Bombyx mori: one gene and its partners. The protein of the gene in region 3 purifies or fractionates together with the protein of the main gene of each other region. This does not show direct contact. Links are inferred from orthologs where the notes say so. Each region holds a gene or a part of one and is shown on either strand. Other genes may lie near its edges.

Evidence for each region. The genes of interacting proteins can lie anywhere in the genome.
Region 1: the proteins of AP-2 complex subunit mu (region 3) and AP-1 complex subunit gamma-1 purify together in Homo sapiens (affinity purification with mass spectrometry; 3 studies listed by BioGRID and IntAct, counting the BioPlex papers as one, with this or other methods). This does not show direct contact. The link is inferred for Bombyx mori from reciprocal best matches to the Homo sapiens genes AP2M1 and AP1G1.
Region 2: the proteins of AP-2 complex subunit mu (region 3) and ralBP1-associated Eps domain-containing protein 1 purify together in Homo sapiens (affinity purification with mass spectrometry; 3 studies listed by BioGRID and IntAct, counting the BioPlex papers as one, with this or other methods). This does not show direct contact. The link is inferred for Bombyx mori from reciprocal best matches to the Homo sapiens genes AP2M1 and REPS1.

What each region holds. Positions count from the first base shown.
Region 1 is NC_085116.1:14,739,443-14,743,203, reverse strand, and holds the start of AP-1 complex subunit gamma-1, read left to right. Parts: upstream 1-1,590; 5' UTR 1,591-1,672; coding exon 1,673-1,731; intron 1,732-2,375; exon of another isoform or gene 2,376-2,565; coding exon of another isoform or gene 2,566-2,585; intron 2,586-3,761. Other genes in the region: ADP-ribosylation factor-related protein 1, read left to right, coding at 1,205-1,298. UniProt on the Homo sapiens protein: Subunit of clathrin-associated adaptor protein complex 1 that plays a role in protein sorting in the late-Golgi/trans-Golgi network (TGN) and/or endosomes.
Region 2 is NC_085109.1:4,009,099-4,012,859, forward strand, and holds the start of ralBP1-associated Eps domain-containing protein 1, read left to right. Parts: upstream 1-1,448; 5' UTR 1,449-1,675; coding exon 1,676-1,825; intron 1,826-1,909; coding exon 1,910-2,320; intron 2,321-3,761. UniProt on the Homo sapiens protein: May coordinate the cellular actions of activated EGF receptors and Ral-GTPases.
Region 3 is NC_085114.1:2,133,483-2,137,243, forward strand, and holds the start of AP-2 complex subunit mu, read left to right. Parts: upstream 1-1,269; 5' UTR 1,270-1,725; intron 1,726-2,737; 5' UTR 2,738-2,749; coding exon 2,750-2,926; intron 2,927-3,674; coding exon 3,675-3,761. Other genes in the region: GlcNAcase3 (beta-N-acetylglucosaminidase 3), read right to left, coding at 533-663, 926-947.

The DNA of each region.
Region 1 (3,761 bases), on a different chromosome or scaffold from region 3:
ATGAGTCAAAATAGTTGGTAAGGTAACGTTTAACCATGTCGCTAATTCCTGGGTAGTTTGGCTCGGATCGGCTTCCACCATCTCTTTCAATTCATTTTTATCATATGTGTGGGCGGTCTTCCACGTGGTTCGTTCTTCAAACCAAAATTTCCATCACGAAAGCGTTTAAACCAAAATCGCACGGTGCGTTCATTACCAGTCCCCTCTCCAAACGCAACTTTGATATTGCGAGCTGTTTCTGCAGCGTTGAATAAAAAAAGCAACTGAAAGTTTTATTAGGTAGGTAGGTAGGTAATCGAATGTTGCCCATTTTTTAAAAGAAAAACCTCATAGCTACCATTTGAAAAAAGTTTCACTCAAAAATCTGAAACCATGAAGGTTCTATGTCAATTCGAAGTACCAATTACAATAAAACGGCAGTTTCATATTTTAACCACTATTAGCAAATATCGCTTAAACTAGAGCCTTCCACCCTTCGATATATATATTCTGTTATATGAAAAATGATATGAAACTAAATGAAACAAGATGAGATGGGATGAAATAAAGTCTCGATAAAAAGGTGTTTCTTAATAAGAGCTAAGTGGATTTTTTTCAAGAACCCAAAATGCCAGGTATACGAGCTTTGTTTTATTTTCCGACTTTTGTTTAGTTTCATAGACGATAAACAGTTAATAAACCACCATTATATTACCACTATTACATTGAAATCTGATGAAACGCTAAATTAACAAAATAAAACAAATCAGACCACAACGCTCCTCGCGTTCCCGCCAAACGCTGGCAAACTTACGATCGTTATTCTCTTAAAAAACTGCTTTAGATAGAAAACTTCAGGTAGGCAAGGACGGACAATGTGCACCAGGTATTTAAAATTATCATTATAATAGAACACAACTATTTAAATCGAATTCATGACTACGATCACATACGTACATAAAAATACGATCATAATAACCATTCCATCATCCGTTCGCCAACGCAATACTCTCTTAGTCGAACAATATGTATTTGTTTTAAATATTGAAATAACCCACTTTGTGAATGTATGCGATTCTATTAAATGTTTAAATAGATAAAAAGTGTGAAGAAAAACACTTTAAACATCAGAATTTTAGAATAAATAAGTATACGGAATATCTTGGAATGTAAATTGACATATTGTTTTGAATTAACTTTAATTTTGTTCATATTATTTTTTTAGTGATGGCGTGGACGAAGGCATCCGATGGCTTGTAGACTGCATAAAACGCAACAGCGTCGATCGTCCTCCCCGTAACCACGATGATAACTTATGAGCATTTAAAGAGCGACACACGCACGATACATGCTCAGTAATCGTATCGAGTCGTACCTACATAATACAATGAATAATAATTAGTTTTCCTATTAAGATAATGTGTATATGACTCGTTCAGTCCATTGTTTTGTACAGTATTGACATTTGAAAATAAAACATTACTAGAAGTGGTATTGCTGTCCTTTTTCAGTGATAAATTGTACCTTTGATAAGAGATACGTTGTGACTGGATATTTGAGGAGCACCTGCACCTGATAAAACACCTCTGATAACAGTTTAGTTTGCACTGTCGTCAAATATCGTGGCATACTGTGTGAAATGTTTTTATTAAAAGATTTATAGTTATTTTATGTGTTGTTTTTCACTGCAACCATGGCATATCCTATGTATGAAGTAGATTGGAGTGTGTTGCCGCCTGAGCAAAATAGAAGGTAGGTTAAAACGTGACAACGGACATTTATATATCAATGAATACGACTAATCAGCCTCCGTGTTTGTAATACACAGATTAGTAGATCAGTATCAAAATGAAATCGTATCTCGTAGACCGGAAACTATGTTCATTTCAGACAGTAATGGAAAAAGTTTTCCACGTAACGTTCGTTCTGAAACATCAGTTTTCCAGCCAAAGTCATATTTTTACTTTCATTTTACAGAATTATGTTTACATTCTTGAAAATTTTAAGTAACATTGATTTTTATATTTCCTTTTGCATATTAAATCTATGGATTACGTATATACTAAATACAATTTTCAAAACAGAAAATATTTGACCAGCAGCGGTAAACGTCATGTGCGAGTCATGGCGGCCATGTTGAATTTCTTGCAACGCACCACGGAAATGTCAGCTGGCTATTGTATTAATTCGTTACAATTATTGTGATAAAAATAATCAATTATATTTAAATATTCATGCGTATGTGATTATAAAAAACTTTAGTTATTCCTAAATAGTGTGATTTTAATCCTTAATTAAGTGAAAAATATGTCAGAATTTAATCAAAGGTGGCATGAGATTTCACTTGCATTTCTATGGTTTGTGACGAAATAAAATGCCTTTGAGCATAACTAGAGACGTGTAATTTATTATTTAGTTCTTTAAAGTTTGTTTTTTAAGTATAACCAAGTGAGAGTTTGCGTATTCTGCGGGTTTGTTTGTCTGATAGCATATTCTACGTTGAGACATTGAAAGATTATTCGGTCTGAAATACATAAAAGCAAAAACTTTTATTTGTCTAAAGAGAAACAACTAGAAGAGTACGAGATGAACGGCTCCGAATCTGGGTAATTTTACGTATTATTTAATAAGCTAAGTAATCCATTCTTATGTGAAGATCTCATTACTTTCATAGTCATTGTATGCTCTCAACCTAAACGGTCCACTAATAAACGAATCATCATCACTTAAAAGAAATCCAATATTATTTATATTTATTCATTACCAAATAAAAGAACATTATATGAACCCCACTGTGAGTGACTTATTCAGGTTAGTCCTGAAATCAACAATCATTGCTAAATTTTATATTCGAATAACATTACAATACATTTCTTTAATTGTTTGCCTATAAAATTCAAATCAACAAATCCATCAATTGTACATAAAGTTTATAGAATTTATTAGTTTACTATTTCAAAAAGGTTTTTTAATAATAATATTGAAAAACAATATCTGCTCTATATGGCTAATAAATAATAATCTTATCTGTCTATAACCAAATTTAAATAGATAAACCTATAAAATTCCAATTGTGTGAAAACTCAAGAGTGAACCCTGTACAAAGAAATTTAAATGTAGTTTAAAAACTATAAAAACACACTAATTTAGTAAACTGAACTAAGAATTAAAAATATTTCTCATTCAGTTGATACTGGTCAAGATATTAAAGAGAAATCATTAAAATTATTATATTGTCATTGCCCTTGATGTATGTACAAATTTCAACTTAATTGGACGCCTCGAAGTAAGTGAAATGACATTCAACAATTCTGTTACACATAAACCCAGCTTATAAAAGAGTATTAAAAAGAAGTACGTCAAACACCAGCCAGAACGGAGAAAAAAAAATTAGAACATTAAGTACAATGTTTTTAATTTTATTCTGTTATTTGCAGAGGAGTGGTTCAAATTAAAAAAAAAACTTCAAAGTTTTACTTTATAAAAATGAAAAAAATGATCTTATTATTAATATTCATTATTTCACCATACTATAACTGATGATGAGCAGACATGCTAAATCCCATGTGCTGCATTTGTTACTGAAGCAGAAGCACCACCCAGCTTAAAGCAGCAAATCTCAACTCTCTATTGTATAGCTGCAGGCTTACCCTTCAAACTAGAATCCACAAATTGCACTAGAAATTGTCATAGACCATGATATGAGTTTATTTGGCAATAAATTGAAAGATAATTTAATCTAGTGGAAATCCATCTATTAAATCCAGTGGAAATTGTATTAT
Region 2 (3,761 bases), on a different chromosome or scaffold from region 3:
TGACAAAGGAATTACTTCTAATTATATTTTGTATTGCTTTATATAAGGAAGGTAGGGTAGTGTTATCCACTTCCAACTTCACAGAAGCATGCTTTACCACTAGTATCTAACAGAAAACTAAGTTTTTAAACTGGTGAAAGCATACCACTTGTGTTAGTGGAATGAAGAACTAGCCAGAGACAAAAATTATCCGTTTAAATTGTAGCGTTGCTTATTAACATAAATAAGATTATAGAGACGAGTACCTACCTACTAAAAGAAGGAAATCAATTTTGGTTAATTAAAAGTATTTATAGGTAGAAATCTGAAAATTTGTTAGAATGTACGCAGTTTCCTTCTTTTTCAATTCTTGCTTCTGGCAGGCCATTAAACAATATTTAGTTACGATGTGGGATTCGCTAAGCATTTAACACTGACCGTAAGCTTCTTTGCCTACAACGATTATATTTTATTTTAAATAAAAAAGAAAGACCAACAATGTTGAGTTTCGAATTTGGGAAGAAGATTGTCTTCTACACTGGACATTAGGCTATTTTCAGAACTAACATATTTTTTAGGATAGGTGTACAAACTTTCCTCCTAACATGATTAATGGAATGAATTCTCGGTATTTATATTACTGAAAATGAAAAATATGTAACGATTTGTTTACAACTACATATTATGTGTTTGAACCTTGTATAAGTAGGTACATATTATTTCTCATTAAAACATCAACGCTTGTGAAAATAGAGATTATAATGAAAATATGGTTCAATGTATAATTTTTAAATCCGCAACTTTATTATATTTTGAACAGAATATTCGGTTGGATTCTTTAGAATATCTCAAAAAACCTTTTACTGCGAAAGCTGATGTCATACACTACGAGTCTGAACCAGCCAAAGCAAGATGCATTCAACAATAACTTGAATATTATATGGGTTCGGACATGAACTCTCTTGCTGTACCTATATGTGAGTCGACTATTATCAAAGCCGGCAATGTGACTTTTGAACAATTATTGCTAAATCAGAAAAACGAATTATTGACTTTGTATTCCATTGGCAGTCACAAAACTCTTCTGAACGACATCTTAGATAAATAACAGGTTAAGTATTAACCTTTATTTCATGCAGGTTTTGAACCGTATTCTTTGAAGGAGACGATTATATTCAAATCAATCTGTATTGACATATCATTAACATGTTTTTGTCCAAATGCACAGATTGCCACCTTTGATAATGGACGATTCATGTATGCACGGTACGTTTCGATATAATAATATCATAACCCTGTCCTGGTGAAACTGGAAAGACCTCCGGACCACCAACAATGCTTTCGTCATATTAAGAATAATTTAATAAAAAAATATCATAACTCTTTGACAAGGCTGACTAACTTTAATTGCGTGACTGGGCTGAAAGACTGAAACAAATTGCTAAAGCACCCAGATCGAATATTGTGTTAGGTCTGTGGTCGTACAAATGATGGACGAAAGTCGCTTCAGCTGTCTTTGTTCTGTCAGTGACATTTCGTTTGCTTCGTGTAAATTTTGTGATGAGCAAGATACAAATCCATCTATTTACTAAGGAATATGGTTTTTATCAATAGATAATGATTACTTTTGTTGTACATTTAACCTGGAATTGATAAAAGTTATAGGAGTTTGTACAGTTGTTAAATTAATAAAATAATGGAGGATCTCAACTTGACAGAAACCGAAACAAGATATTTCGGTGATTTGTTTTTATGTTGTGATGAAGAATCTAATGGGAAAATACCAATTTTAAAAGCAACAGAACTATTTAGATCGTCGAACATATCCAATGATATTCTGAAACAGGTAATAAAATGAATAGGTTACACCCATTAAGTGATAACACAGGTTGTACATATAATATTGGTACATAACTTTGATATTTTTCAGATCATGGATATAAGCGTGTCTCCTAACAACTGTGCAACATTAAATCATATGAACAGGAAGCAATTTTACTCAGCACTTAAATTAATAGCTGCACATCAAACTAACATAGCACTTAAACCTGATCTTTTATCAACTCCTATTGATCTTCCACTGCCGAGGTTCACGTGGGCACTTAACTCAGAAGCTAATTCTGATTTAATACAGCTATCTAATTCTCCTAAAGAGCATCACATATCAAAACGTGAAAGAAATTTTGTTGGAAATATTAGTGCTTATGAACCAATAAGACTATCTTCTAATCTGTCTGATAGTGATGTTCCGCAGACATTGTCTCATGATGGGAATGAAGCACTCAGTACTGATTCTGAAATTGAGTCGGAAACAATGTCACAAAGATCTGGATCGCGTGGTGTAAGTTTGGGATAATTTTTTTATTCAATACTTGCTTGGATATCTTAAATCAATTGTAAGATTAAGTAAATAGTCCACAGAAAAACATCACACTAGGTAAATAAAATTTATTTCATTACTTATTCAAATTTAAAGTCTATATAGACTAAATGCCGCAAATAACAAAACCACAGCTTTATTAGTTTATTAGTTTGATACAAAGACCAAAAAAAGAGGATGTTATAAAACTTGATTACAAATCCAAATGGTTTTTTAATATTTTCAAACTTGTATCTGCAAACTTAATTTATAAATATTGGCATGATTCATTTGTCATATGTCGAATACATTCTGTTACAAATGAGATACATATAATTTCATATTTAGTTGTTTTTGTTGGTGTATGAATGAGTTTTAATTTTGTAGTAATATTGTGTTTTATACTCTAAGATATGCTAAAAAGAATAAGATAGTGTCTGTGACAGAGAGCAAATTAGTGATTTAGAATGACAAGTCTCTAAAAGTCATTAAAAATCCTAATGAAAGTAATGTAAATTATTAGAGTAATTGTTGGTCTTCTAGCTTTTCTAATATTAAGCAGTAGCACTAGATAATTCTGTTTTAGCTTATATTATTCTGGACTTATATTGAATTTCAGAATAAGTGACTGAATTATTTAACATCTGTAATATTAGCATTAACTTTTGCCTTATCATGTATGCATTGGTTATTGTGAATTGGAATTGAGTATTTGCCAGAAGATTATATTATTACTATTAATCTTCAAAATAGATGCATGAGATATTCTCTTATTAGAAGATAAAATTACCTCCAATCTCCTGTAGCTACTATTAATAAAGATTTTTATGAATATGCATTTCACACCAAAAATGCTTCTAAATTCAGTCTTTCTGTATTTCAAAATTTAATAAAAATGGTCTTGTACAGACTGACTCAGTGGTCTCAGTGACTGTTGCACCGAGGACATCCATCCAACATTGGGCAAATATTTGTGTGATGAACAGGTTATTTCTCTTTGTATGGGGCTTTATTATCTATATATGTTTATATGTAAACAAATATAGAAGTGTGTATGTCAGTCTCTTGTACCCATAACACAGGTAATCCTAATTTGGAGCCTGATGAGCATTGCATGATTTGTTCCCAGTTATTTATTATTATTATCATTTATCTCCAAATAATTTCATTAGCCTTCTGTAGCAATAGCACTCTATTTAACCAGTGTTTCCCGAGCGCTATGATATGTCCATCTTCAAACAAGGTTTGTGGAGAGTATTAAACGGTAGGCAGCGGCTTGGCTCTGCCCCTGGCATTGCTGACGTTCATGAGCGGCGGTAACCACTCACCATCAGGTGGGCCGTATGCTCGTCTGCCTTCTTTCTGGTCGTTCCCTCAATGCTGAGGATCGTGACTGTATGTCAATCTTCTCCACTCGGTCCGG
Region 3 (3,761 bases):
AAAATAGGTCAAACAGAATTGGTTTTTAGTTAAGTGACTACGGAACCCTAAAAATGGTTATGAATTTTTTGTTTACGAAGGCATACGAACATAAGGTGCCGTTGATGAAAAGGTGTCAGCGCTACTCATAGACATCGGCAATGATAGAGGTACCTACTATCAAATAGCTGATAAAAAGTAATAAATATTAAGTACTGTTAAGTAAATGTAATAACAGCCACGCGTATTACGTAGCGGCTCATATGATGTTAAGTGGTCATTGAGGTCCATAGATCTTACAATGTCAATGCCAACACCCAAGTCTCATAGTAATCAATCATGACTGTGTTAATATTCAAAGTGAAACATGTCCCTACTTCATGGCAGCAATAAGCAGGATGTAAAGTTTAACCGTGTGCTAAGTGCAATCGCTATTCCGCCAAATGTATGAAAACACACAAAATAAACATTTGGAAAAATCATTAACTTTCACAAAAACAAAAACAGTATTGTTTAAATAAGCTCATAATTATTAGGAGAAAGAAAAAGTTACCTTAATTTCGAGTATATCACTATCAAATTTGTAATAAGGAATTTCTATCGATTGCATTTGCGGTCTTGGCCAAATTGCACCTTTCGATGCTGGATATTCGGGTCCCGGTTCCACGATATGCAAACCGGTCACTAAAAAAGCGCCTAAAATATTTAAATAAACAAAAAGACGAAACATTTTGTAAACGCGACTGCTCGCTATAAGGTTGAATACAAAATGTTGTGAAATACCCTGTCTCCTAGCATTATATAGTCTGCTAGAAGACAGTCTGTCATCGATAATATTTCACAAAATCAGACTTCCATGAGTGTTGTTGCTCAGTAAAAAATGAAAGGCGTATTTTTGCGCATTTTGTACTATGTTTATAAAGTCTTAGATAACACATTCAAATACCTAAAATATCGCTTATTTCCATAGCTTCATTGGCTTGAAACAATTCAATTTAAATTAACTGGGTTACTGATAAAAAATACATTTCAAACTCCGACTTTTGTCGTTTTCATTTTGGTGTCATAGATTATGAGTTTTAATATTAATTTTAATGTAGAATGCAAGCATAAATTACTTATATTTAGGATAAGGTGGGTCAGTGCGTGAATTTTCTTCCTTTTCTTTCTTCAACAAATTATCTATGCCATGCACTTTGTGGTGCACATTTCCACACTTGGTGGAAATCTAAAAATATATGTTGTCTATATTGATTTTTTGCCAATTCAGTAATTTTTCTGATTGAATCTGTGAAAAATATAGCTTACTGGGTTTTCAATATTTTCAATATTGTATGAGTGTAAGGAAAATTAAAAAAAATGCAGGACATTGTTTCTCATTAGTTTTTTGATACTGTCTCAACGGACAACAATATCATTCAGCTGCCATCAGCAAAATGGCGTTACATTGTATTGTATTGACATTTTAGTGGTTTTTCAATAGTCTCAGTATAATTTCAGCAGTTTGGTGAGAACATTTTAATAGCTTGAAAAAGATTGATTGTTTTAAGGCTAAAGAGTCGAGTAGCCAATGGTCGGAAGCAAACTTTAAAAAAGTAACAATTGACGTTTCAATTTGGGGGCGGCTCATTTTTGGGTTGAATAATTCTCTATTGAGAAAAATGCTGCCTACATTACGTTAAATTTCTAAAGGGATGTAATCGCTGAATAGCAATTACATTGAAACCAATTTTGAAAGAGTGTGAGGTAAGCGTTTTTAATAAATATTCATATCACAAATGAACGCCCTGTTTTTTTTAATGTATTTCTTATTTCTGTTTTATTGATTTATTTTCAAATCTCTCGATAAAACCAACAAATAAAATTCAACAACAACAAATTAACGTGTATTTATTCGATTTATTTTCCATAATGTATGTGGGTACTTCTGTTATTGGGATTCTGGGACATTCGCCCATACTTTTTGTCGTGTTGGGTAATTATTCTTAGCGTATTGTTTTCATCGTGAGAGTCAGCGATTAGGTTCCACCATTCTTTCTATTGGTTTTACGAAGCGTTCAGGCTTAGAGGGTGGGACAGCTCTTGTACAACACAAACCTCAACCTTACGTCTCAAGGAGGGTCAGGATATCTATAGGGTCTGGTTACTATTTGATACAAGGTCGTCACTTAGCCCTTCTGATGGTAGTTAATCTGGCAATCAGGCTAGAGATACAGGTATGTGGCCTTGGCACCCTATAGATATTCCACAGCCGCTTCTCCGCCTGAAATCTGTAGTACTAACCATTAAATCCTTACTACATTGTCTTAAATAATTCTACTTATTCTTTTGACTTGTATCTTAAGTACTTGCTGTAAATCTTACACACACAGGTTGGTGACACCATTACCTTAGTCATTACTACAATGTTTCTCAAGAAGTGATACTCACTTTTCATTCCATTGTTAATAATCTTTGATAACTGTGTAGGATATTGCACCAAACACTTCCGATTTTCTGAATAAATGGTATATGGTTTCTGCAAGTCATACAACAAAAGATTGCATATCTGCAAAAAGTTCACCCCAAAAACAAATGAAGGGAACTGTACCAAAAAAAATACATGTAACTTTGAGAGCAATTAGTGGATAGCTGTATAAAAACAAAAATTTAACCATTTAAATCGTAAAATGCTGCTCTTTAGACAATTAAAACCTAAAGTTTAGAGCTTAAAGACCATTCTGTCACCTGAAATTAAAACAAATATATATATCCTTAGGCCTCACCTACAATGATCGGAGGCTTGTTCGTTTACAACCATAAAGGCGAGGTGTTGATCTCGAGAGTCTACCGAGATGATATTGGTCGTAATGCTGTGGACGCATTCAGAGTGAATGTGATCCATGCTCGCCAGCAGGTGCGATCACCTGTTACCAACATTGCACGCACATCTTTCTTCCATATCAAGGTACTGTTACCATTTTTTTTATGAAGTTCTTCTAACAGTTTTTAGTAGAAATAAATCATGTGTTTTAATTTGAAGAATATAAGATATCTTGCATTCGATTAATGAAATATGTTGTAATAACAGTCATTATTTATTTATTTATTACACCTCATGTAAAATTTACATTGGCGGACTTAATGCCTAAGACATTCTCTACCAGTCAACTAAAGGTAGTGCAGAGTAAATAGTGGTAGGTGTAATGAAATTTATATTAAACCACAAATACATACACAAAAAAAAAAAAATATATATATATATATCCTGTAACACTTTTGGCATCCAATGAACACAAAAGTACATTTAAAGTGGCGACCACCGACATTTGGTGACCAATATGTGGTCGCCACTTTGTTTCTCTATATTTTTAACACCAATCAACTGTAGATGAAGCTATGGTTACTATTTCAATTTTTGAGATGGTCACCAAATTACCTCATATTATATATATATACACACATAATGTGGTAGGTACATTATTTTTTGTGCTCGTGGTGTTCATGATTTAGGCCACTCAGCATCAGGTGGGTTGTGTCATCAATCAAGGCAATAAAAATGTTTAATAAGCCTTTAATTTTCTTAGGACTTCCACATAAAAGTCAATTCAAAGAGCTTAAAATATTTATATACAGTGTCAAAGCAGAGAATACAGTTGAATATTTCTGATAGGCAAACGATATGCTTAAATATTCAAAATAAATTTTATTTGTAGCGTGCAAATATTTGGCTGGCAGCAGTCACAAAGCAAAATGTGAACGCGGCCATGGTATTTGAGTTCCTGTTGAAGATCATTGATGTG